2 linked regions of the Lepisosteus oculatus genome follow. Each later gene encodes a partner of the first gene's protein in a complex. Links are inferred from orthologs where the notes say so. Each region holds a gene or a part of one and is shown on either strand. Other genes may lie near its edges.

Region 1 (12,275 bases):
TACTTTCTGAATAATATTCCAGTTTTAAAAAATATATAAATATTTAAGCTTGTGAACACCTGATCCTGCGTTATTTAAATTAGAAAATAAATCATCCACATAGAAATATATTTCTTTCAGTTGTCAATAAAAAAATATTTTATTGGGAAACAAGATTAAATTAACACTGAAAATGCAATTTAAACTATTTTAGAGGTTAGTTTTGCTCTGTGGAGGATCAATGATAATTAAACGCAATCAGAATATTACAATATTTTCGATCAGTGAGCAACATTTGATGCAATATAGTTTGTTTTGGTTATGAATGAAATATTTATACCTCATCTTACTTAGCCAGATGTATTGCCTGTGTACACATTTAACATCTAGATCTTTCTAAATTGAATTTTGCGGGCCTTGAAGACATCCTGAAAGCCCAGAAATTATTTTACTTTACACCAATCCATACTTTGAAAAAACTGCATAATTACGTTAATGTTTTGAACAGGCAATATCTTTGTCCAAACCTGCAAATGCTCAGTCTCATTATGCAATTCAGAATCTGAAAACCAGATATGCACTTTATGGAACTGTGATGGGCACATATATACAGTACTGGAGTAAGGCTGTTTGCTCAGGGCCCATTCTGAAGTGCCACCATCTGTCTCTCTCGATTCCGCCTGTGGAAGAAAGCCTTCCCAAACTCATAAGTGCTGATCATTATAGCACAAGCTGGGGCCACTTTGATCAACCGGGGAAGGAATCCTGCATCATTTGAGAGACAAAGCAGAATGCATACATTAGTTAACTATTTACAACATATAATACAACAGTATTAACTGGGTTTTCTTCATAAATTCAAGTTCAAATTCAGAAGTTCAGCTAGGATTATCACTGTGCACATATTCTGTTTTTGCTCGGCCTTCAGATTGTTTGGCATCAGTAATAGTTTGCCATCTAGTGGTGGCTGTGAGGTGTTGCATGAAATCTGCTGATGGGAGAAACTAAAGACAGATCTAAATAGCTATTTTATTACAATAGTTCAGGTGGGTAGCCGCATCTGCATGCATAGGCTGTGAAGGAACAAGTAATAGGTTTATTACATGCTGAAAAGAGAAGAAAGAAAACAACGTTTCAGCCGTGGAGCCTTCTTCAGGTGTCAACACAACTGAACCACACCTGAAGAAGGCTCCACGGCCGAAACGTCGTGTTTCCTTCTTCTCTTTTCAGCAGGGAGTAAACCTATTACTTGTTATTTTATTACAATGCTTTGAGAAAGTGTAAGAGATTAAATGTGATGATTTTAATGGCTGCACCTTTTTTTTTTGTAGAAGAGCCCAGCTGAAGACATGTTTACGACATTACAGTTGACATAAATCTAACACAAAGATTAAAGCCGAGAAATAACGCAGAACACTAAATCAGGGGTACCTGCGAATAATCCTCTAACACCATTTTCAGCCACAATCCTTCTCATCACGTGCATGGTGGAGGACGAGGCCCGAGGAGATACTAGAACATAGAGATGCAGTCTGTGAGAAAAGGTCACTCATCACTTTGTCAGAATCAAAAATTCCTCTGCACATTTAATAGCATGCCACTACTGGGTGGAGCGGTGGCTCTGTGGCTAAGGATCTGCGCCTGTTACTGGAAGGTTGCCAGTTCAAATCCCGCGGCCGGCAGAGGAATCCTACTCCATTGGGCCCCTGAGCAAGGCCCTTAACCCTAACTGCTCCAGGGGCGCCATACAATGGCAGACCCTGAGCTCTGACCCCAAGCTTCTCTCCCTGTCTGTGTGTCTGTGTCTCCATGGAGAAAAGCTGGGGTATGCGAAAAGACGAATTCCTAATGCAAGAAATTGTATAGGGCTAATAAAGAAACATCATTATTATTATACATTATGTTTTACTACACTGAGAAAAACAAGATTAAGGAACGATACAGAAACAAATCTGTTTATCGCTTAATACTTACAGTTCAAAGCTTCAAGCTCCCCAAGTTCAATTTGTCTCCGTGTCTTTACCACATCGAACGGTAAAGTTATTATTGAAGCAATCTGGAGAAGCGAGGAAAAAAAACAAACTTTAAAGGCTTTTATTATATTGTAACTGGCCATTCTGGTTACTGCAAACCAGTATTTATCTAAAATTTGAGATTTGTTTCATAGACACGACCACAAGACTGCACACATCAACGAGTTACATCCAAGAGTGCTGCGGAGTAATGAGAGCTCAATTTGTCTCTTTCGCCAATCAGCTTGGAGGGATTGTGCTTTCAGCCCTTTACACCAATAAATAACCCAGGTTAAAAAAAAAAATTGAATCACATATTGTCTGCACACAGCCACTTATGCAATGCAGGTAACAGGAAAAACTGGCTCTGACAAATGTAATTTAACTTTTCACATCAAATAATTTTATTTGCTTGTCTCATGCTGAAAAAAAAAACATTGTCCAGTAGATGAAATTGTGGTTAAGTCATTTCTATTGCAGAGAAGTGTTGTCCTTCAAGAATTAGACTGGTTCAACATTAATTTGGGGTGGAAAAAATCATGCAGTGGTTTTCCTTATTAGAGCTACGCATCTGAGATTCTGCATAAACATCTTTCACACCCCAGACACCAATATAAGCTAATATATGACTGACTGGTTTATCAAACTAAGGAAATTCAAAGCAATGAGCTGTCTACTTACAGACCCAGACACTGCTCCTGAGGTGAAAGTGATCATGAATGTTGGTTCTCTGGCATCATTCTTCTCACAGAGCCACTTCTTTCCAAGCTCATAGTTATACCAGTACATTGCTGTGTGGACAGTAAAAACACAGCTAAATGCACTCACAGCCACGACTTGTGGAAATAAACATATTCGTGCAATAACAGCCCCAAACCAAAGATTTCAGTCACTTTTAGATTAAAAATATATCAGCTTCCATAAAGATAACATCTTTTACATTATCCCCTCGTATCCCCTCGCTTATCTGTAAAGTGGTAAGCTGGTGGAGATTTGCCTCCACACTAATAGGAAAACAGGCCCATGCACACAAAACAAACAAACATTTTTATCTTCGTCAGACCATCCCATCGACTTTCATTTTCTGTCTAGAACTCCTCTGAAATTAAATGATTGAAGTTTACGAACCAACTAAAACAACTCAAAAACTCAGAAAAATAAAATGTTACAAGTATAAGAAATCACACCCATATGTTTTCACACCCATTCAATGTGTGGAACCAATGTACCATCCACTAACATCCCCGATGAAATGAGAAATGGGAGAGCAGCTATGGGGCCCCGATTCCTGGAGTCAGCTGTACTGTAGGTGTTTATTCTCCTGGAGGTGTTATAAGACAGCCTGTTTGCTGACCTACCTGAGAAAGGCACATCTCTGAGTAGAGTGGGGCCCAAGCCCCTCCACAGAGACAGCCAGCCATCAGCTGCCACGGATGTCCGGATAAAGGTGTTCAGCTCCCGATACGACAGCTTCTGGGACTGCATCTTTGTCCGTATTAGCTCCAGCGGACTGATCACAGTGACAGACCCCACTAACAAAAAAAAAAGACATTTCGCTCAATAACTCACCATTTTACTATAAATCAGCAAGAACTGGGTTAAAAACATCCAATCAGATTTAAACACTCCTAATCATAAAGCCACCCATCTCTGGAAGAGTCCCTAGTCTGCTATATGTAAAAAAAAGCATTTTAACAGTGCACTCATTAATCCAAGAGAGGAAAAGGAAGCTCAGTGAATGCTGTCTTATACTCCTAGTAGTCAGAGACATCTCTTGCCAACACAATCACAATTCTCTAGTTCTATTTTTAGATTAATATCTGGTCTTCGGCTTTGTTGGTGTCTTTCACAAAAGAGAATTTAAGCCGATCTGCTTCTAATCTTAGGAAAGGGGGAAGAAATTCAGTATGGGGACAGAAATGGAAGGAAAAAAATGTTTTCTTATGTTAAAGATTCAATTTATTTTAAAAGAGTCATTTATTTTTAATTGGTAACATTAATACTTTTATACCCCTTTGATTAAATCACCTGTTAACCACCTTAAAGAAGATCTAAAGGTACTGATGCTGCTTTTTAATGAAACACCTCACCTCTAGCCAAAGCCCCTGCCAGCAGTGGTGCTTCATTAGAATCGCTGCCCATCCTGTACTTCAGAATAGCACAGAGCTGGTCATAGCAAGTGAAATATATAACAGTAGCAGGTACAGCCATAACTCTGGAAAAAAAAAATTGCATTTGGACAATGACAAAAAAACACCAGAGGGCACTAACTGGCCCAGACACACAAGCCTTAATAAATGCAAATTGATGTTATGGTGTGCCAATACAGCGCCCTCTGGTGTGAATGGGAATATGCTCAGGTTTTTATTAGAAACTTCACTGATCACGTGACAAAAAATTGCAGTGCAACAACAGCTTAACACAGTCAACACAGCACAGTGTAACGAATGATACAATAATAATACAATACATACAATCCAATCAGCACAGTCAGTGAGAAGTGCACTAAGAAGAGTTACTCACAGTCCAGAACATACAAAGAACAAATCAGAACAGTATACAAAAGTTGAATTGCACAATATAAATATAAATATAAATTGCACAAGTCCCTGGCATATATTGTTATGTCAATGTTGCCTCTGCCCAGATGCAAAATGTATGCGTTGTACAGTCTTATGGCAGAAGACAAGAATGACCTTTAAATTAATTTTACATTTCAGTACTCCACCATCTTTATTTTGCGAAACAATTGCATGAAGAAGTCAACTAGCATTAGATGCATTTTGCACATGTACATATATACTGAGAGGCATTAAAAACAAACTTTAGATTTTCCTGAGGTTTTTTTAAATTTTCCTGACTATATGTAAGGTACTGAATAGTCTCACTCCACAATACAGTACATTAAGGGTGTATCAAATCCGTATAATGTAACACTAACGTATGAGATATTCTAATGTATAGCACAAGTTTTTTTTATTAGCCATTATAAATACAAAATACACCAACTATCTGTGTATGCATACACTTGTACTGTTTCAAACTTACAGCGTTGGAGGAAGCCCACTCCATAATGACTTTATTCCTTCTTTTTGAATGATTTTAATAAATGCATCCTAAAATAAAATAAAAAATCACGTCAAAACATGACAGTTTTATAATAGAAAGTACACAGAACACTGAACAGCCTTAAGAAACACTTTCATTTTGAGCCAAATGTTTTGGATTTTGTTCCATCTTAGCTCTCCGTAACTTAGCTTAGGCTATAACATTGGCCATTTATTTACTTGTAACCATTCAATTATTGGAACAATTAAGGTTTATTCCATGCTGAAAAGAGAAGAAAAGAAACACAACCTTTTCGGCACCCGAAGAAGGCTCCACAGCCGAAACGTTATGTTTCTTTTCTTCTCTTTTCAGCATGGAATAAACCTTTACTTGTTCCTTTGCAGCCTACGCATGCTGACGCAGCCACCTACTTGAACTACTATCATTTAATTATTAGTTGGCTCAATTAAGACCATTCTCGACAGTTCTGAATCAGTTGGTTAATTTACACTGAAGTGCAGATACTAAGAAAAGAGACTACCTCCTATTGATTTAGAAGAAGACTAAAGGTATAGAAAGCATTAAGGGAGTTACAGGTAATGAAAACAGAAGCAGTGCTAAGCACAACAGTGTGAATTCTCATTAAGACGATGGGGATTTCGCTCGATAAGTGTAACACCTTACACAAACACGACGGGAAGCAAGACACATTCAGATTACCAAAGTGCCTGTGAAATGTCCAGGGGCCTTGTACCAGGCTTTGGAGTTCCCATTTTCACACACACAAATGTGGTCCATAAGGCCATTGCAATACAGAAAACATTTTCCTAGGAAAGGAACAAAATAGAATTAGAATTACCTTTCAAAATATAATGAATTTTGTTTTTAAAAGCTAACAAATTTACCTTTCCAAAAGGGACTTCTTTGTGCCTGAAGCCTAATTTTCACCACATCCAGGGGTGTAACTAGAATGAAAAATGAAATAAATAAGAGTTAGAAAGACTCAGAAGGAATTCAAACTAAGCTTTACAGCTTGCTGTACTTAGTTCGGCAGCTGTCTGTTGATGTCAAGTTTTACAATAAGTACTTAATGTGTAAGACAGGATTTAATACATATATCACATTCTGTATTTTCTGATGTCAAAAATGTTTCTAATGTTTTTTGGCTATCCACATTAACCAAGCTAATGTTTGGCACAGTCTGTTTTTTCTGGCTTAGCTGTAATAAACCCACATTGGTTCGAGCATTTTCATGCCAGACTCCTACAAAACAATAATTAGGAAGTCTATTACTCATTTTCTCTTAGCACATAATGAAAGAGTTTCTTACCAAACAGTGAAGTAAGCAGCGCTCCTGAGGAGGAAGCTATCATTTGCTGGACAGGTGTGATGTCATTGAGCACAGACACTGTTCCCTGGCCACTCATCTTGTCCTTAATCAGGAATACAACGGCAATCCTCAAAAGACAAACAAACTGCGAGCTGGCATACACCTGTACTGCTTTTTCCTTCAGACGTGAAATTCAATGTCACTCTGTTCTGAATGTGCATATTTGACATTCTCTAAATCCACTGTTGTTAATTGAATAAAACAAGCATTGTTTTTCCCCTTAAACGAGTTCAACTCCATTAAGTTTTTTAAACTATTTGAAAAACACCCTGGAAAAATTTGATGTTTCTGAGTGCAATACGTACAACCTACCTTGCTAACTCTTCAAAGGCAAGAAAATAAAACTGATACTGTCAAACTGTACAGCTGTGCTCTTTTCCTGGCTGTTTTCTTCACATCAGTTAAATGTCGAGATCGACACTGTACCACATCTGAATTATTCATCGTTAGCATAAAGGCAACGAAACCATTAATTAAATTAGATTAAAGACACTTAGGTAAACTAACTGTTAGGGTTTCAATACAACATGTCTCATCAGGATTCTCTCCAAGGCTCTGACCTATGTGTTACATATGCTGTTCTCACAGCACACATGCTTGGATCACATGACCTATGCCGATGAGTCTATTCTCACATTGGCCACAGCACATTCAACAACACGGACATTTAAATTATGCCTTACTTTTCGAACCTTGAAGAAATGAACGACAAAAATAACACTTTTTACGTATCACAATTCTTACAAAATTAAAAATAATACAATTATTTTATATTTAACTTGTCAGAAGTTCTCTTATGTAATCGCAATGAACAGAAAACATAAATTGCATTTTAAAAAGTGAGACGGAAACTCTGGAATCCAAAATGAAGATAGTTTGAAAGAGAGGTTTCTGGGATACTAACTAGTCGAAGCGGGAAAGAAGAAAGTTGTGTTAAGGAAAATTTGAATTGTTTCATTCTTTAGCATTCATAACGGTAAGTATTTTGTTCGGGTGGGCAAGATTAATCATTATGAATCTGATTTCGATATAATTCGTGGCTATTAAGAGTTAGTATGCGGTTCGTTCTCAGCAGGCTTATCACGGTTGTTTGCTCTCATACAGTAGCAGTCTACTTCCAAGTTAAATGTCGGTAGTTTTTTTTAAAAAAAGCAGACGTGTTTCTGTACGTTCGTAACGACTACGCATTTTATGCAATGTGCAATTTTAAACTGATCTACTGTTCTAAAATATGTGTAGTTTTTAAAAGCACATTAACACAGTAGTTTGATTAATTTTTTAAACAACATGTTTTTGCAGGGTGTTTTTCATGTTTTTCGATGAGCTATGTTGCTTTACTTCTGGATCATAATTTGCTTTATAAAATCCTCACGACTCGTGTTGAAACAATGCGTGCATTATTAGATGTCTTTTCTATGTTTCTTTCAACAGAAGCCATTATAGAAGGTGTCCCTACTCCCCCAAATGTAATATATACTGAAAATGAAAAATAGGGTTACCTCCCAGGATGTTAATGTCAAGTTGCAAGGTATTTTAGTTTCTTAAACATACCATGGAGAAAAATGTCATTGAATATTGAGATTTTTGTGCAGATCACCAGAAAGTATTCTGTTTAACTTGTTTGCCTTAACCAAAACACACTGTTTGATATTGCATCAATACTTTGGCCAAGTTATTGTAGAAAATATATGAAGAAATATACATAAGTAGACATGACACATAGAGTAACAAGTTTAAGTATTTGTTTTTAGTGTAGAGTCAAATTGAAGCCTAATGCTCACCCAGAGCTATTCTTTCGAAAGGATGTAGCTGCATGGTAACTTGAATCTGTTACTGTCCTAGGTTGGATTTGATTAAATTAGAAAAACACATTCTCCAAAATGTATTATAAGTCTGTTAAAGCATGATGAAATATATGATCCCCACAAATTCAAAGTGCAAATGGAGAAATGTGAAAAGTATTCTTATGTATGGGAAAATATTTTCTAACGTTTCCCAATCTGGCATGTTTGAAACTTTGCAAGCGTATTAAACAGGTCATTACATTTCATTCACCTACTTTTCTTACCCTCTGACATGCTGTTATTCTGCTACTATTGGGAAATGTGGGTGTAATCTTTAAAATTGCTCTCCTATGTTTTTGTTTGAGCAAGAGCAACCTGAAAAACCCCTGATATCGTGTCCATTCTTTAACAGACTCAAAATCGATTGACAAAACAGAGCAGAACAAGGTGACATTAAAAAGTGTGCTGCAAACAGCAAATGGGTCTTCAGGACTGAAAACCAAACCTCTGGCTGGAAAACTATTTTATCTAGATCTGCCATTCAGTAAGACCACTGAGGCCTTGGAGAAAGACATTCAAAAGCTTGGTGGGGTAAGATATTTTTAAGTACAAATATGAATATTTTTGCATTTTACTGTTTGTATTTTGTGTATCCACGTGTGTATAAATATGGAATATTAAGCATTATTCAGATTTAACAATGGATCTAAGCTGTTATTGTTCTACCACTTTCAAAGTTATTACTTTTGTGACTGAACAAACCTAAACCTTTAGGACCACAGTTATTATAACTTTGGAAGTATTTGTCTTGAAAACTGAAGAAGTTAATTAGAAATGATAACGGCACAAGCATGTTTGCATATGTGGAGGCTGTTTGTTGTTTTTTGAAAGATGCAAAGGTTTTGGTTTAGTAACCAAGTCTGACAAGATAGATTTTTCCAGACTGTCACAACACTTTATATATAAAAATGTTGTGACAGTCTGGTTTTAAATGTACTTCCCCTTACTTACCACTTGTATTTTCCTATTCGCACTGTTGATTCTGCCAGTGGCCGTAGGATCTATGTTATCTGTGAGGGTTTTGAATGAAGAGTGAGATTTCTGTTTTCGAGGCTAAAACTATTTATTTTTGCCTGGCATTTCTTTGAACCTGATATGTGTCTGAATGGATTTCTTGCCACATTATCATAATTCCCTAATGGTTCTCTCACTTCAGTTTTCCTCTATCCTGGTTGCTTAGAAAGACTTGATTCCCTCTAGCAGTTATAACAAACTGAGTAAGGAAGCAGACATGAAATTGGGCTTTAAAGTGGTAATGCTGCTCTTATTAAGTCTACATTACATGTATAACAGATTTATTTCATTTTAGACCATTGAGAGGTTCTTCAGCAAGGACATTCGATATCTTGTTTCCAATAAGAAAGAGGCAAAATTTGTGAAATCAGTTGGAAGAAATTCTCCTTTATCAAGCCCTGGCTCTCCCAATACCACTGGGAACAGCTCGCCTTGCCTCAGCAGCCGAAGAGGAAGCTGTAAAGTAAGCTCGCAGGATGCTGCAGACGTGAGTTTGTTATGAACTTTTCCTAACATTTTTTTTCATTCCTCTTAGCATTTCTGTGATTGTATAGTTACAATGCCCTTTTTGTGTGCAGGCAATAAAAAGCAGAGGGAAATCACTGGTGGAAAAAGTTGTCAAGGAACAGGTAAATATTCTGTCAAGTGTCTCCATCTACTGTAAGCAGGATTTTATATAGAATGTTGATATGTTCTGGGAGAGTGTTTCTACATTTCAGAACATTTGCTGCTGAAAATGTTGAAATAATTTTCATTTTATATATTTTACATGGTACATATCATATGAGGGTGATCAGTGCCATATAAGTTTTGTGCTAAAAAAAGTATGAAAACATTCTTTTAATGTAACTAAGTAGTATGTTTTATTTGGATGTAAGACTTATTTGGGAATGTTCCTTATTAACTAGTTTTTCTTATAAACTTTGAAGAATTTAAAATAGAATTCCAAGCAAATAGTATTTTTCTTGCAATTAAACCGTTTTCATTTTTCCAGGAACTAATTCAGACCAACAGAATCTTGTCAAATGCTTTGGACTGGGGCGTCAAGATACTGTATATTGATGGTATCCTTTAAAAGTGCTATATATTGGTTGTTTTTTTTATTGCATATTCAAAAGTACAATTCTACTTTTGTGTTTGTTGCATGTCCTAGAGGGCCACAATCCAGCCAACAAAGCTTTGTGGGTCACCATTAAGAAATTAGTTTCAAAAGATTTATTACATACATTATTGAACAATTATGTTATTATGTTTCATTTCATATGAGCTTTAAAGTACTTAATTTAACTAATCATCTGCTTTAGTTTCTACAATATTTAGGAAATTATAAATGATTGAAATGTAATCTGTAATCTTTAATCTTTAGTTTTGTTTCAGTTGGCCACCATTACATCTAAATAAATGCTTACAGTGTTAAGTGGCCATCACTAAGTGCTTTGTGAGGTTTGGTTTCTGTTTTTCAAATGTGTAGTAGGAAAGATAAATGCTAATATGAGCCTACTATTACTCCTTGACTGCAATATCAGATATATTGTCTTATATTGAAAAAAAGAAGAAGGATCTACCTACTGACCAACCTAATTTACACACTTCAAAGGCAAAAAAGACAGTAAGTGTCTCTTCTTCCTGTGAAACATTTGGTTTTTATAACATTGTAGATTAAAGGGGTTGGTGAATGTCATTGTTTCATTGTAGATTACTTAAGTAAACTTAATAATAAAAAAGAACAGAACTTCAAATGAAAATTAATAAACTGGATTGAAGGCAGGAGAATGTGTTTAAGCATTAATTCCTTTTCTCTCATTTTTAAAAGGTCAGCAACGCTACAAATGCCAAAACCTCCGTTAAAAAAAATGAAGGTAAATTCAGTATCATTTCTGAACTACAGATTCTTGATAATTTTAGCAACTTGACTAACCTAGGTTTTAGTCTTAAACCCCCATTTTTCAGTTTAAGTTACTTTTGTAATACTGATCTAAAAGAAAAATAAGTAATGAACACATCATCTCCTAATTTTAAAATGTCATCTTAAAAATGATCGATATGGATAAGCTGAAAATTATTTACTTAAAGGTAAATAGATTAGACTGCTTAATATCGCAGAAACAATAACAAAAGCATGATGGCAATTTCTGATGTATTTGTTGCTTAAATATTTTTAGATTACTTTGACTGTTAAAGTTTGATATTTAAAGGATTAAAAGGCTATTCTAATTTACTTGTAAATTGCAGGGTGTTAGGTGTACATGTAGTATAATGTACAGCTTTCCCTTTCAATGCAAGACAGCTCTCATTTTACATGGTCTCTTATAATGTATATTTTGATTTTTCTTGTTAGTGTAATGCTTTTGTTTTAGTTCAGCTTGTGATATTTTTCTTTCAGTTGGGAATCTCAAAAAACCTTTTCTAAAAGTGGAAGATCAAAGCCGGTAAGAAAAAAATTGCTTTGATTTCAGTGTTCGAATATTCCTTAGTTATGTTAAAATTGCAGGCCATACCAAATGTTAGAAATTAAGGTAGAGATACATGGATTAGTGGAATTATATAAAAAATTAATTGAATTCAATATTGCTGATATGTGGTAGTTATAAAAAATTAAGTGTCAAGAGTATTATTATTGCTTTTACTCGAGTGTGTGCTGCCCTCTAGAAGTATTGAGACAAAATTTATTTTGCTTTACAGTCGGGTAATCTGTACTATATATGTGATCGTGAGATTATTGTGAATAAGTACAATATAATATTGGTTTTATTTTTTGGTTATTTCATTGCATTTGGTACTATTTGTGGTTAATTAATTGCATAGATTAGATAATGTGATCACAGGGTTGAACACCACTTTGTTGTAATACATATATGGAGAATCGCAGAGTTAAAATCTAGAAGTTTTACTTGGTCAATTAAATATTTTTTTCCCTAATAAAATCCTTAGTTGCTGCTTAGGATTCATCTTTAGGATTGCTGCTTAGTTGTGTCGGCTGTACGTTTT
Region 2 (12,582 bases), on another chromosome or scaffold:
TTTGGGATGAGCTACAACTCATACAGCATCACAAAGTCTTCTGACACACATCTCTGTAAACATTATTTGAAGCAGCAGACATGACTTTAGAAACACTGCTTTTGCTGCTGTTTCTAAAAAGTGGTCAATTCAAATTCAATGCAAGCTTTATTGTCCCATTTGGGGAAATGTATTAACAATGCATTTACTGCACTCATGTAGATTTATATTGAAACATTACTGCTCAACATACTACTCAAGGTTTTATTTTTTTTAAATAATCCTTTAGATTTTATTTAAATACAGCAGCATCAAATAAAAACAAGTTTAAAGATTACTTCTCCAAGTGAACATGCTGTGCTTATACTCTAACAGAAGGTGTGAGAGGAACCAAGCTTTTATGCCAACAAAGGTGGAGGCTCTGGAATCTTTTGATAGTTTCACAACATCGCAACAAAGGGGAGAGCAGCAGTGCTGTGAAAGAGGTATGTACTGCATAAGGAGTGTAACTCTATACACTAAGCTTTGCAATTGAAGCTGCATAGCAATCAATTTCACCCAGTTTACTAAACAATCATATTAAAGCTGCCATAGCAGAATGTGCTCTTGTGTTTACTATCAGCATTTGCAGAAATATTGGAAGCTTGATGGCTAATGTTTCATCCAGATTCTTATTATTATAGACTACTATAATTTTTTTTCCTGCCCGAGTTGCTTTAATATGCTAAATGTGTAGCATGTAAGAAATATTTGCGGTGTATTGTCCATTATTAGTTTTAAAATTCCTGATTATACTATTAGAAGTGTAAAGTTAGAATGATAAATGGCGTGATTGAACACCTGAAAAAATTATCATATTTCTGAAGAATACAGATTACAAATGTGTTCTTCAATTGTCAATCCGTGTGCACAAAAGTATTGTTATAAACTGAGCATCACAAGAAACATCACTTTCTGATAAAAGATATCATACAGTATAAATGACAGAATCTTTTCTGCTGTAGGCACACATACATTTTATTTACTATCTATAAGTAAATGCTAGAAGTGGATAAGATTTGACATCAACAGGATTGATCATGAGGGTACCTGCTGTGACAGTACCATATGGGGCTGTGTCACAATCTCTTGTGCTCTTCAGAGTCTAAAGAAAGCAGGCACAGCAGGTGAGCAAAAGTACATGGATTCTGTCCAGCATTCAACATACAGAAGGCCCAGAGGTGTTGTGTTCTATTCACCAGGCTAGACACTCATCAGGTTGATTGACCTCATCATCTGTGTTCAGTCATCTCTGATGAGGCGATTCAGTGATTCAATGCTACAAAGTCATTTTTATGTATCACAGCTAGTGATCAAGAATCCATTAATCAAAATGATGCCAGTGTCCAATATTCATATACAGTACATTCATATACACTACCTTTTTTCTATAGTGTATATGAATAGTGACATGTTACTCATGATGCTCAGAATATAATGAAATAATATGAATTATTAATGTCTGTGTTGCCAGTTTAGGAGTTTAAGTTCATAAAGCTTTCTGTACATTTCTTATTTTATGTACTGACATTCCTCATGAAAATATTGATCTGCAGTGTCTAGACTGCTGTAGAGCAATGAGATTAATGATTTTGCAATGACTTCTTGCACTGAATCAGACTATGACACGGGATGTTACACTGCCAACACTCACAGCTGGATCGTCCCAGAGCCAGATGAGGAACTTCTCAGTCAAAATACTGAGGAAGCGAAAAACGCAAGTAAATACTTAAAAAGCAAACTGTTCAGTGCTATAAACTAAAAAGAAAATATATAGGTGTTTATTATTGCTGTCAAAACACTAATTGCTCCTATTACTCATTAAATTAATGTCAATCTGTGTGTTAGGAAAAAACACCAAGAATGTGTATCAGTGGTCAAAATTGTGTTGTATTATTGTACAACTCATTCTGATTACTGTTATATGTGCACTATACGTAATTCAATTATCAAAACAGTGCAGCTTTTTTCAAATTTCAGATTTTTCGGTGTGGAAGCAGTCTGATACTGGAAGTAAAGTCAACACTCCACAAAACAACACAGGTTACTCTGAGAATCAGAGGGTAAGAGACGCAGATGAAAGTGGATGCTTCTCAGAAGCTATGCGTGTGACATTCGATCTTGGAGTGGATGACTGGAGTGATATTGACGATGAGAATCTGGTACAAGTCAGTGAGCTTTCTGATGCACAGATACCACGGCCAGGATTGAAGAAAGCAACAGGTATACATTTTAACAAGAATTTTCCTGCTCTGTGATGTCAGTTTTAATACTGTACTGCTTTTAAAGTACAGTAATATTAAATAATAATTCCTTGCATTTATATAGATCAGATTACATAGAAGTGAGAAATTGTTTTACTTATGGAATTAAGTGGGAAATATAGGTATTTAAAACTATACAAGCCAGAAGAATTTGTCACAAATACCGGTGTATTTCATCTATTCTTATGAACATTGATTAGGACCTTGGCAGACCAAATAAAGACCAAATGCTCATCCTAAGCTGTATCAGTGACCTAGATTCTGCTATAGTTGGTAAACCTGTCAAGTTTTCAAATGATACCAAAAATAGGAGGTTTCGAAAAACCATAGATGCAGCAGATGACATTCGAAAAGATTTAGATTCAATTTGAGATTGATTGAACAAGCACCGGGCAGATGATGTTTAACACAGACAGTTGGAGGGTGTTGCATGCAGGTAGTAAAACATTAATTATAAAGACAAGAGCTCCTCAGGGATAGTGATGAAAATATCCTAGCAGTTATGTTAACACGTTGTTTACACATTCCAGACAACTCAAGGAAGCAATGAAAAAGGGAAAAATAACTTTTAGGCTGAATGGTTAAAAGCACAGAATGTAAATCAAGGGATGTGATGTTAATATTGTACAATGCACTAGTAAGATCACATTCAGCATACTGTGTACAGTTTTTCTATTTGGCTTGTTGATCTCTTGCTCTTCCAACTTGCCTGCCCTTGATCAAGGGCAGTGGCAAACTCAATCCAATGGGCTTCTTCATCAGTAGCAGTGAAACATGAACCGAGAACAAGAGACACTTCCTTATGCAAAGGGTAGCGAGGGTATGGAGCAAACCACCCAGCCCTGTAGATGAAGAAGGCTCTCTGGCTTCTTATAAGAAATGGCTGGATGAGATCCTCAGGGAATAGAACACAAGTCTAACATTCTACCACTGCCTAATGAGCTTGAGTTTTTCACAGTAAACTATTAAACCATATTATAGTTACGTTAACTGATTGTCCTGTTATAACTATACTTTATTGTTTTGCTTTTCCTTTGCAGTCATTCTGGTATTTATTGTCTTTACTGTCTATAGATTCCAGTGTATATCATGAAATCTGTTTTTCATACAAGTACCAACATTTCTGAGAAAAGCACTATTAAAGCTAATGTTTTATTACAGCGTTTTCAGCATCTTTGTACTCCAAGATAGGGCAGACTACATCATTCAAAGAATGTAAAGGGTAAGTAAATTCGATAAAAAGTAATTATACTACTTTCCTCATATGTTTACATTGTAAATATTTTAATAAGTATGTTAGATTGACACTACTTTTGCTATTATAATATTATAAAGCATCCTGTTATTTGCACACATTTTCAGTCGGAATATGCATGTATTTATTTCTTTATGTTGTATTTTTTTAGAACTACATATAATGACATTATACCGCAGGTGTCTAAGTGCACACCTGCACTTACCTGCACATCAGATGATCAGTCATCACAGTCCAGGAGCTTCTCAGATGCAAAACCTGTAAGTGCAGTAAAAGCTAAGCTTGCATATCTCTGCTTTCTTTAAATGTGTAGTATTCCCCATTTCATTTATGTAGCTCCTAGTCCTGAATTTAGATTAACAGAATTTCCATTCATTCTACAGTGCACAGCTGCAAAGTTTTCTGTAGCACAATGTAATGTCACAGAAAATGTATTAAATTATACAGGTATACAGGAGAAATCCTTATCAAAAGTTAACCAGATGTCAAAAACACCTTCCTCATCTCTTTGCTTTCAGCTCTTGACAGAAATAAAATAGGCAGTAAAAAGGCTGAGTGGTGAGATTGACAGATCTAATATTTTTACCATTGCAGACATATTTCTAGAAGATCTGCAGCTGAACTTCACTTAAGTCTTTTCCATGGGCACTATTACTGCTATACATGCATCTCAATATGATTAAATACCTCAGTGTTTCTTCCTCAGCGTCTTTACTTTAGAAGGTAGTGTGGGCAAGGATAATGCCACACTCCAAAGCAGTTTGGAAAATATCCAATCAGTATTATTTCAGACTGATAAACAAGCATTTGTCTCGAATCCTGCCTCATGACTGCTGAGTTATTTTTTTGGTTTCTCTTCAGAAGATTCATACTGAGCAGAGTGAGAACAGGATGGTGCTTTCATGCCCCAGACGGAATGTAACAAACTCATCAGCAGTTTTGGGAAAATTTGATTTTTTCTCCCATTTGCATGCTGCAAGCGCAGTATCAGAAGGCAGTGGCAGGTACAGTAAGTCACTCTGTGGGAGATCTTGCAGTATGTTAATACTCTGCACCTGTTATTACTGTTGATTTCTGAAACAGACTTTAATTGGAAATTCACATTTATGTGTGTATTCGGATAGCACTGCCTGAAACTCATAGCTTCTTTAATCTTGTGGTTAAATTTGCATTTAGGATTTGAGTTCACATTCAATTACTTCAGGATAATCACAATTACTGTGAAAGAAATACACTCAAACTTGTTACGCTTTTGAATGTAAATAATTACTCACAGAATAGTTAAATATGAACAGGTTATTTGGTCACTGAGAGAAAATCTGAACATAAAAATATTACAAACCTTACTGTCACATTGTGTTCCAGATTTGAGAGGGAAGACAGCGCCACAGAAGTTAGTGCTTTTCTTGGAATATTTGATGGAATATTTTAGTACTCCCCAAAAGTCTGTTCAGATGCTAGTAGAAATGTTGTAAGTTATTGTATTTCTTTGATTTGATTGTTTATAAATCTGATTTTAAATGTATTGTTAATTGTTAATAATTCAAATGAACACATTGAGATTTTGATTATTTTATCAAATATATGATGTGCTCTCTTGTTGAACTCTTGTGGTTTCTTCGTGTTTAATTTTAAGTTTATATACATTTTAGAGACAAATAGGGAGGCTGGTGAGGGCACACAGAGCCAATGACAGCAACAATCTTGAGAGTAATCTGTATGAACAGATGAGAGGAAACAGTGATGTCAACCATGCCCTGTAAGCACACCTTAGGGAGCCAGAATGGAGGATTATTCCCTTCCCCACAAGCGTTCAGTGTTCCTCTGAAGGTTTGTCACCTTCGGCTGAAGATAACATCTTTTCAAGTGGTGACCCATTGGTGACAATATTTCATAGCACCCTCGTCATGCACAGCTTAGTCACACCTTACAATGAACGAAAGTCATCATTCCCTTAGTTTCATAACTAGCAAGTTTATAACAGTGCTTTTAAGTGAGATATTTACCCTTTTTAAATTACACATTAAGGACAGTATTTGTGCTGAGCCAACCATATGCAAAAAAATGCATGTTGTTAATAAACAGAGTCATGTATGTTTTTAATGTGCAGGAAAGTGCAGACGCAAGTTCCTTTTCACATCAGGTTTGTCCTTATAGAGCAGCAGAGTCCTGTCTTGGTCCCAGCGGGCTGGTGTGTCTGTGGGTCTTCACTCCAGCTCAGCTCTTAATGAGCTGCACCTGCTGGTGACTGGGTGAACTGGTCCCATTTAACAACTGTCCCCAGGTCTGGAATGCTGCAGCATTGAAGAGACCTAGAAGACCAGCGGACACACTGTCCCTCCAGGACCAGGACTGGACACCCTGTCATGTATATCAGTGCCCAAAACCCTGCCTTCAGGAGCTACAGGTCTCTCGAACACATGGCATCAGGAAAGGCCAGCCTTTCCAGTCCATTACAAGCCTATGACCTCTATTACTGAACTAGTGCTTTATTATCACAGCTGCTGCAGATCATGTGATAATTAAGGATTATCCCGTCGCCCACTTATCCAGCCTCACATACTCACCTGGGAAAGCGCTAGCTAGAATCCAGTCGCTAGACACTTGGGATGCAACAAACAACAACGGCATCACATCAGACTGGAGGAACTGGATGGTGGGCTTCGTGCAGCAAACAGACGGGCAAGAGAAAGGGTCGATCATGCAGTTCGATTCAGTGTCTACGGGCATGACAAATTTACAGAAGTTTTGGTAGAATATATATATATATCTCATCAACAACAGCAGCCTTGTGTGTCTTTCATTTGCATTGCAAAGAGCTGTCCGTGCACAAGAGCAATGGTTCGGCGTGAGGCCGCTGCTCTGCGGGGGACGAGGGGTAGTGCGGTTGCATCGCGTGCCGACGCACGGCCCTGGAGCGAGCCGGAAGCTCTCGCTCTCGCGCTGCGCGGCCCCGCCCTCCCCCCTGACGTCACGTTTGCGCGGGTCGCTCGTCTGCGGGAGGAGGAAGAGAGACGCGGCCGGCCGGCAGCAGCGCCTGGGCTCTCCGCTCCCGTACTGAGGTAACGGGGACGCCTTTGAGCCTCTAGATGAGCGGGGTTAGCGGCGGATGTGCTGTCGGAAGTTTTTGTGCTGGGGTTCTTTAGTCAACACGACCCTGACAGACGCGCGGTTATATTCGCGTTGCTGTTTCTGCGGGTCGCCTCCCGGGGTTTGTTTACAGGGCAGTCCTGCCGGGGCTGATCGGAGATGAGTCGTGCGCTCCCCCCTCCTAACTTCATGTTGTAGCTCGTCCTGAAGTTTGCGGGGTGAGGCGACGTGGCGGCGGTGGCGTGAATCGGCTTTCCTGCGAGTTGCGTGTGCGCCCCGGCTATCCGGGCGCTGTTCCTGCTGTTCCCCCCGGGATGGCACTTGGACAATAAAAGTTCCCGCTGAGCGTTGTGCCACAAGCCGTGATGTTAAACAAGTGGCACACGTGCCCTCCCCCCCCGATGGTCTGCGGGCTCCCGGGGGTCGCACGCTGCAAGCTGTCTGGGGGGTTTATCGTCCTTGCAAGCGGACGGCCCGAAAACACCTCGGGTTTGTTCTCTTCTGCGATGCTCAGACGTGATCGTTTGACAGAGACAAAGAGAACAGTGCGTAAAAAGGAGAAAACCTCATCGGTCTTGACGTGTGTGTGTGTGTCTATGCGCGTTATTGGGTACGTATTTGAACCTGCCCCCCCCCCCCAAAAAAAAAAAGTGACTTTCTGTTGTTCGTCAGGTTTCTGTCTATTGGAGATGGAGTCGGCTCCTTTACAGATGAAGCCGGAGGGGCGCGTTGGAAACTACATCTCGCGTAAGTGGGAGAGAGCTGCTGCCTTCGAATAGACCCCAAAAATAAACTTGAAGTTTTTCCAGCCAGGCAACCTGTTGCTTCATTGAAGGATTTGTCTCCAGGTCCTCAGGACCGAGGTTGCAATACGTATGACACTTCCATTGTACAAGTAACGGATGGGTACTGTACGTGCAGCAGAGCAGGATGGGGTAGTGATGTTCAGCACCGTTTATTTGTCATGTGCTGAACAAGTGCAATGAAATGCTGATTTGCATGTGTGCTCTGATAGGGAGACTTAAACACAGAACAGCAGCAGCAGCAGCAACAAAGTTAAATAAGGTACAACTTAAATACAAGTCAGACAAGCAGCGTGAGAAGAGGAAATAAACATGAGTGTGAGCCAGTGGTAGCGGTAGAGTTCAGTCATCTGACAGCCTGCAGGACGAAACCGCCTCTGAATCTTGAGGTTCGTGCCTTTATGGTCCTGTAATCCCTACCAGAGGGCAGGGGGGCGTACAGTACAATGATATGACAGACGCAGCATGCTGGAAGCGTGGTGCAGGTGCTGTAAGGATTTGAGCAGTGTACTGACGGTGTGGATACCCAGAAAGCGTCCCGTGTGGCCAAGGTGAGTCTCGAGTCAGCGCTGAGCTGTTGTGGTTGTGGGGCGCTCCTCTCTGTACTGGCTGTGCAGGCATGGGGTGTCGTCTTCTGACTCCCATTCCCTCCAAAGCTGTGATTATTCTGATGTATTGATTTCTGAGGTCTGGGTGGCTTACTGGCACACGGGAAACCACACGTGCATTCAATTCTGAAGTAACCTCTTTGTTTTGTAACTCTGAAACCTTATAGTTGCCTTTATATATATATATTTGGTTTGGACAAAATATTGTTTGGTTTAAGTTGTTTTTTGTTTATTTTCTTTACAGGAGAAATCAAAACGGATATTGAAAGCTTGTATGAAGCCATACCCCAGCTCTCCAAAATCTTCGTCATATTGGATAAAATTGGTGAAGGTCTGAACTGCATTAAGCATTTTCTAATATAATGAACTTATTCTTTAGCTTAAGAAGCTGGAGCGCTGTAGCTGAGCAGCTGCAGTCTTGTGGTTTGGCAGCCAGAGCCAGTGTGTGGGGTCTGTGCACGCCGGATGTGTCATAGAAGTGTTTGTGTTTGGGATTAACAGGTACGTTCAGCTCGGTGTACCTGGCGGAGGCACGGTTGACGTCTGGCGCGAAAGAGAAGTTTGCTTTGAAGCACCTGATCCCGACCAGCCACCCGGTCCGGATTGCAGCAGAGCTGCAGTGCCTGACTGTGGCAGGGTGAGTCCTCTGCCCGTCGCCGCCACTGCTGACGCGGACCTGAGCAATAAAAACAAATCGGCCTATTCGCCTTTAAAAGCAGGCCTCTGTTTGACTGGAGGGCCAGGCGTTCCCCTTTCTGGTGATGTCGATATTTTTCCGGCAGTTCTGGTCGTGATTTATAAGTCTGGGGTCTTCCCATGCCTCTGTTGGAACGTGGCTTCTCAGCCTCTGGTCCTCCCGACCTGCACTGCTGCAGTCATGGGATGTGTGCCACTCTGGTCCTTTCTGTGTTGACGCTGCTAACTAAGAGAGAATGCAGGGCCTGGCGGCTGCAGAACCGCGAAGTGGACTGGATGGAAGGGCGTGCCCTTGAGCCGTCTCGTTGCAGGGAATCGTGCTACGCATCCGGTAGGGGAGCGCTGCTCCAGCCCTTCGGGGCCCGGGCGCGGCCGGTTTTCCAGATCCCTTTAAACGGGGTCGACAGATTGACGATGTTTGAAAAGTGTCAAATTGGTCTGTGCAACGCGCGCAAGGGGCCCAATCGGGTCGTTAAGAGCAGAGGTGGAAGGAATTGAATTCGAGGTGCGCAGGCAGCCGCAGCTGGCCGGCCGAGCCGGAGAGACTTGCCCCCAAGGTTACCATGGAAGGTGTGCAGTGTGTCCCCACAACTGCAGTGACTTTCCCAAATGACAAAGAATTCTCACATACAGGTGGCCTTCCGTGTGTTTTGTTTCCTCTTCGGTTGCTGTGCCTTAATTATGCTGATGAAAGCGGCACGTGTTTGCCCCTGCACATCGGGGTCAGAGTGTGCTTGCCAGCAGGAGTGAGGCCGTCCTGGCACGTTTGCCAGATGTTTTGGAGGCTGGTTTCTTCCCTAATGGACCTGAACACAGTGAACAGGTTTTCTTTAAGGAGGTTCGTAATTGCTGTGCGAGCGAGCATACAAAAGTAGCTCTGTAAAGCACCATCAATTTTGTTTCTTAAATTGTTTTGGGGGGTAGGCATCTTAAAAGGGCAGTTACTGCAAAATCGAGAGTTTTACGTTACTGCCCCATTGAATAATTTACTGCAAGTGAGATAAAAACAAGTTAAAGCATGTTGTTTTGAAGTGGCTTCCAAAGAAGAAACAGTTTTCATCTGCTCTGCTGTGTGTTGTTATTATAGATCTGGCTGGGGACGGCTTTTGAGCAGTGTTGATCAGTAATGGAAAGACCTTAGGCTATAAAACAGCAGTCTGATTAAGTTTCATACAGTTGAGACTTCAGATCATTTGGAAGTCTGCAATATATTTTGTTTCTTTTGATTAAAAGTTCCCACAAAACGAGGGGGGAAAACAGAAGAGCTTGTGACTTTTCCAGATGTCCCATGTGCTCATTATTTCAATAAACCCAGTTTTTGTCTCTCCTTTGCTCTTTAAAGGAATGGAGAATGGCCTTCCGCTGTTCTGCCCTAACTGTATTATTACTATGGAATATTAAATGCAGACGCATACTTAAACTGAACTGTTCTTAATCAGTGCATGGTACAGATCGTTAAGCTTTGCAGATATTTCCAGGAGTAAGTCATTAAAGGGTGTTAAGACTGCTTCATGTCATCCAGACTTGACGAGAGCATTCTCCAGTATTTTGCTGATACTCTTAAGCCATAGGCCTACATGTCACTGTGCAGCACGTGCATTTGCTGATTTTTAAGATGTGTTTTTTTGCTAACAACTGGCCCATGCCAGGGTTTTGATGTCAAATGAAACGCCCACAGCTTAATATTGATTAAGAGTTCAGTGCCTTTCTAGAGCATTTTTCTTTTTGATCTGACGCATGCAGTTTCTAAAGCCCCAGCAGGGATCATGCACCAGCCTGCATGAAGTCCGTCTGTGGTTTTGTTTCTTGCCGTACTTGAGCAGCTCCACATCTTCAGGTGGGGTTTGTAGGAAACCCAACAGCCTTGGCTGCACTGTGTGATCTCACTCATCCTTCTTGCACCATGAGCAGGAGGAGAAGCCGAAGTGTGAGTCTGTATGGCTGTTGGGAAGATGCTCACGGGGGTTTTTAAACCTTCTCATTCTAGCGGAAAAGAAAATGTCATTGGGGTGACGTACTGCTTTCGAAAGGACGACCACGTGGTTATCGTCATGCCTTACCTGCAGCATGAATCCTTCGTGGTAAGTCGCTCACCGGAATATCAACGGACCTTTTTTTTTGTTTCAGAAACCACTTTCATGAACGCACGCTTTTCTTCTCGTGCCTTTTGCAGGACATCGTGAGCTCGATGGGTTTTGGAGAGGTGCGGCGGTACATGTTTCACTTGCTCAAAGCCCTCCGGCACATCCACAGCTTCGGCATCATTCACCGTGACATCAAGCCCAGTAACTTCCTGTACAGCCGCCAGCAGCAGAAGTACGTGCCGTCTCCTCCCTGAGCCGCGCGGTAGCGGAACGCAGACTGTGCCCAAACCGAGCTAACTCTGCCCATCTCGTCCGCTCTGTCGGTCGTTTGTAACCCTGGGGTTGTGCAAAGTTCTCCTGTGGGAGTGTCAGGGAATAACAGGCAACACTGCAGGCAGCCGGCAGACAGCCCCCCTGTGCATCTCCTGCCTTGTCCACCTGGTGACCCATCCTGGTCACTCGCGCAGACTCAACTTCTGTGTGTGTGTGTGATAAGTGTGTTAAGTTCATCCTTGAGAGAATTATTATAGAGACTCAGTTTCAAACAGCGCTGCTAGTTTGCAGTTGACATGTAGCAAATGTTGAATTAATAACATCTGAAACGAGCACTATAAACTGAATGGCTCTAGTGGCCTTTGTATAAGTACACATCATGCGGTTGGATGTGAATGGCATATGCAGTGCTTTACAGGAAATTTGCTGCACTTAAGTGCTTCAGGCCCGTTTAAGTCCCAGGTTTTAAGCGTTTGATTTGTTCGTTTTAAAGGAGAACCACTTTTTGGATTGAGGTCAATCACGTCGAGGTCAATAACTTCTGCCATAAGTCATAAGATCCAGCTTAGAGCCATCTGCCAGTCTCAGATCTACAATGCCAGCACTTGGTGGCAGCCTTTTGTTTTCCAGAAGCTTCTGCCTTATACCCGATGGAAATCTGCCATTAGGAACTGGGGTTTTAATCTGTTGTTGGCGAGCTGGTCTGTTTTGATTGGACCGAGGCCCTGGTGGGCCCTGGTCTGTATCAGAGGACAGAGACGCTGCCTATAGAACATACAGTCCCTGATGCCTCACAGGGTTTGTTTTTTTTATTGTTTGGGAGCCAGGAAAAAAAAAATATTTTTACATTCGCTTCGTAAACAGACCAGGGGGAGTGGAAACCATAGGAACCAGCAGGACTTGCTTGGCGGATTCGTACCCGCTGGTCTAGATGACGTGTGGCGTCAGGTATCGGGAGATGAATAGCGTTCCTGTTTCTCCCCAACACCTGCAGGTATGCTCTGGTGGACTTTGGCTTAGCGCAGGGGACCCCCGGTACCCAGATCGAGCTCCTCCGGGTCCTGAAGGCTGAGAGCCAGCAGGGAGCTTCCACAGATAACAGACCTCCTGCACCCCCTGAGAGTAAGACGCAGCCCTGCAGGCCATCTCCGGACGACCGCCCTCTGCATTGCCCCATGAAGCCACCTGCCAAGAGATCCTGGTCACTGGCTCAGACTAAACACAGAAAGGTTCTGCATCGCCTTGCGTGGGGAATTTGTGTGTGCATGCGTGTGGAACAGTTAACCCTTTCCTTGTGACCGGATTGAAACATTGAAGTAATATCGTAAACTGAGAGATCTAAGCGAGGGTACGGATTAATCTGTATTCGGCACAAGCCCAGAATAAGAGTATGAACCACAACATGACCCTGTTTTGCCCCGTGATTTAAATTAATTATAGGGTCTTTAAATCTTTGGTCCTCCTGTCCCCTCTCTGTCCGTTACTGAATTA

The links.
Region 2: the proteins of dbf4 (region 1) and cdc7 are in contact, whole or in part, in a crystal structure (PDB 6YA8), measured with the Homo sapiens proteins. The link is inferred for Lepisosteus oculatus from reciprocal best matches to the Homo sapiens genes DBF4 and CDC7. Residues at the interface, in NP_006707.1 of Homo sapiens: Thr210, Arg211, Thr212, Gly213, Arg214, Leu215, Lys217, Pro218, Phe219, Val220, Lys221, Val222, Glu223, Asp224, Met225, Ser226, Gln227, Leu228, Tyr229, Arg230, Pro231, Phe232, Tyr233, Leu234, Leu236, Met239, Pro240, Ile242, Asn243, Tyr244; in NP_001127891.1 of Homo sapiens: Asn56, Val57, Phe58, Ala77, Gln78, Leu79, Gln80, Ile87, Ile93, Pro94, Thr95, Ser96, His97, Pro98, Ile99, Arg100, Ile101, Ala102, Leu105, Gln106, Thr109, Lys121, Tyr122, Cys123, Phe124, Arg125, Asn127, Asp128, Val130, Leu143.

What each region holds. Positions count from the first base shown.
Region 1 is NC_090705.1:6,470,285-6,482,559, forward strand, and holds the start of dbf4 (protein DBF4 homolog A), read left to right. Parts: upstream 1-7,297; 5' UTR 7,298-7,405; intron 7,406-7,860; 5' UTR 7,861-7,911; coding exon 7,912-7,957; intron 7,958-8,625; coding exon 8,626-8,804; intron 8,805-9,582; coding exon 9,583-9,774; intron 9,775-9,865; coding exon 9,866-9,916; intron 9,917-10,281; coding exon 10,282-10,351; intron 10,352-10,813; coding exon 10,814-10,896; intron 10,897-11,100; coding exon 11,101-11,146; intron 11,147-11,670; coding exon 11,671-11,716; intron 11,717-12,275. Other genes in the region: mitochondrial glutathione transporter SLC25A40, read right to left, coding at 614-744, 1,411-1,491, 1,954-2,035, 2,673-2,782, 3,350-3,523, 4,082-4,206, 5,040-5,107, 5,760-5,866 and 2 more. UniProt on the Homo sapiens protein: Regulatory subunit for CDC7 which activates its kinase activity thereby playing a central role in DNA replication and cell proliferation. Required for progression of S phase.
Region 2 is NC_090704.1:1,472,806-1,485,387, forward strand, and holds the start of cdc7 (cell division cycle 7-related protein kinase), read left to right. Parts: upstream 1-6,436; 5' UTR 6,437-6,599; intron 6,600-7,299; 5' UTR 7,300-7,316; coding exon 7,317-7,374; intron 7,375-8,282; coding exon 8,283-8,369; intron 8,370-8,539; coding exon 8,540-8,675; intron 8,676-10,721; coding exon 10,722-10,815; intron 10,816-10,907; coding exon 10,908-11,050; intron 11,051-12,085; coding exon 12,086-12,320; intron 12,321-12,582. Other genes in the region: probable ATP-dependent DNA helicase HFM1, read left to right, coding at 355-464, 1,638-1,739, 1,999-2,241, 3,444-3,504, 3,689-3,797, 4,399-4,541, 4,903-4,969. UniProt on the Homo sapiens protein: Kinase involved in initiation of DNA replication. Phosphorylates critical substrates that regulate the G1/S phase transition and initiation of DNA replication, such as MCM proteins and CLASPIN.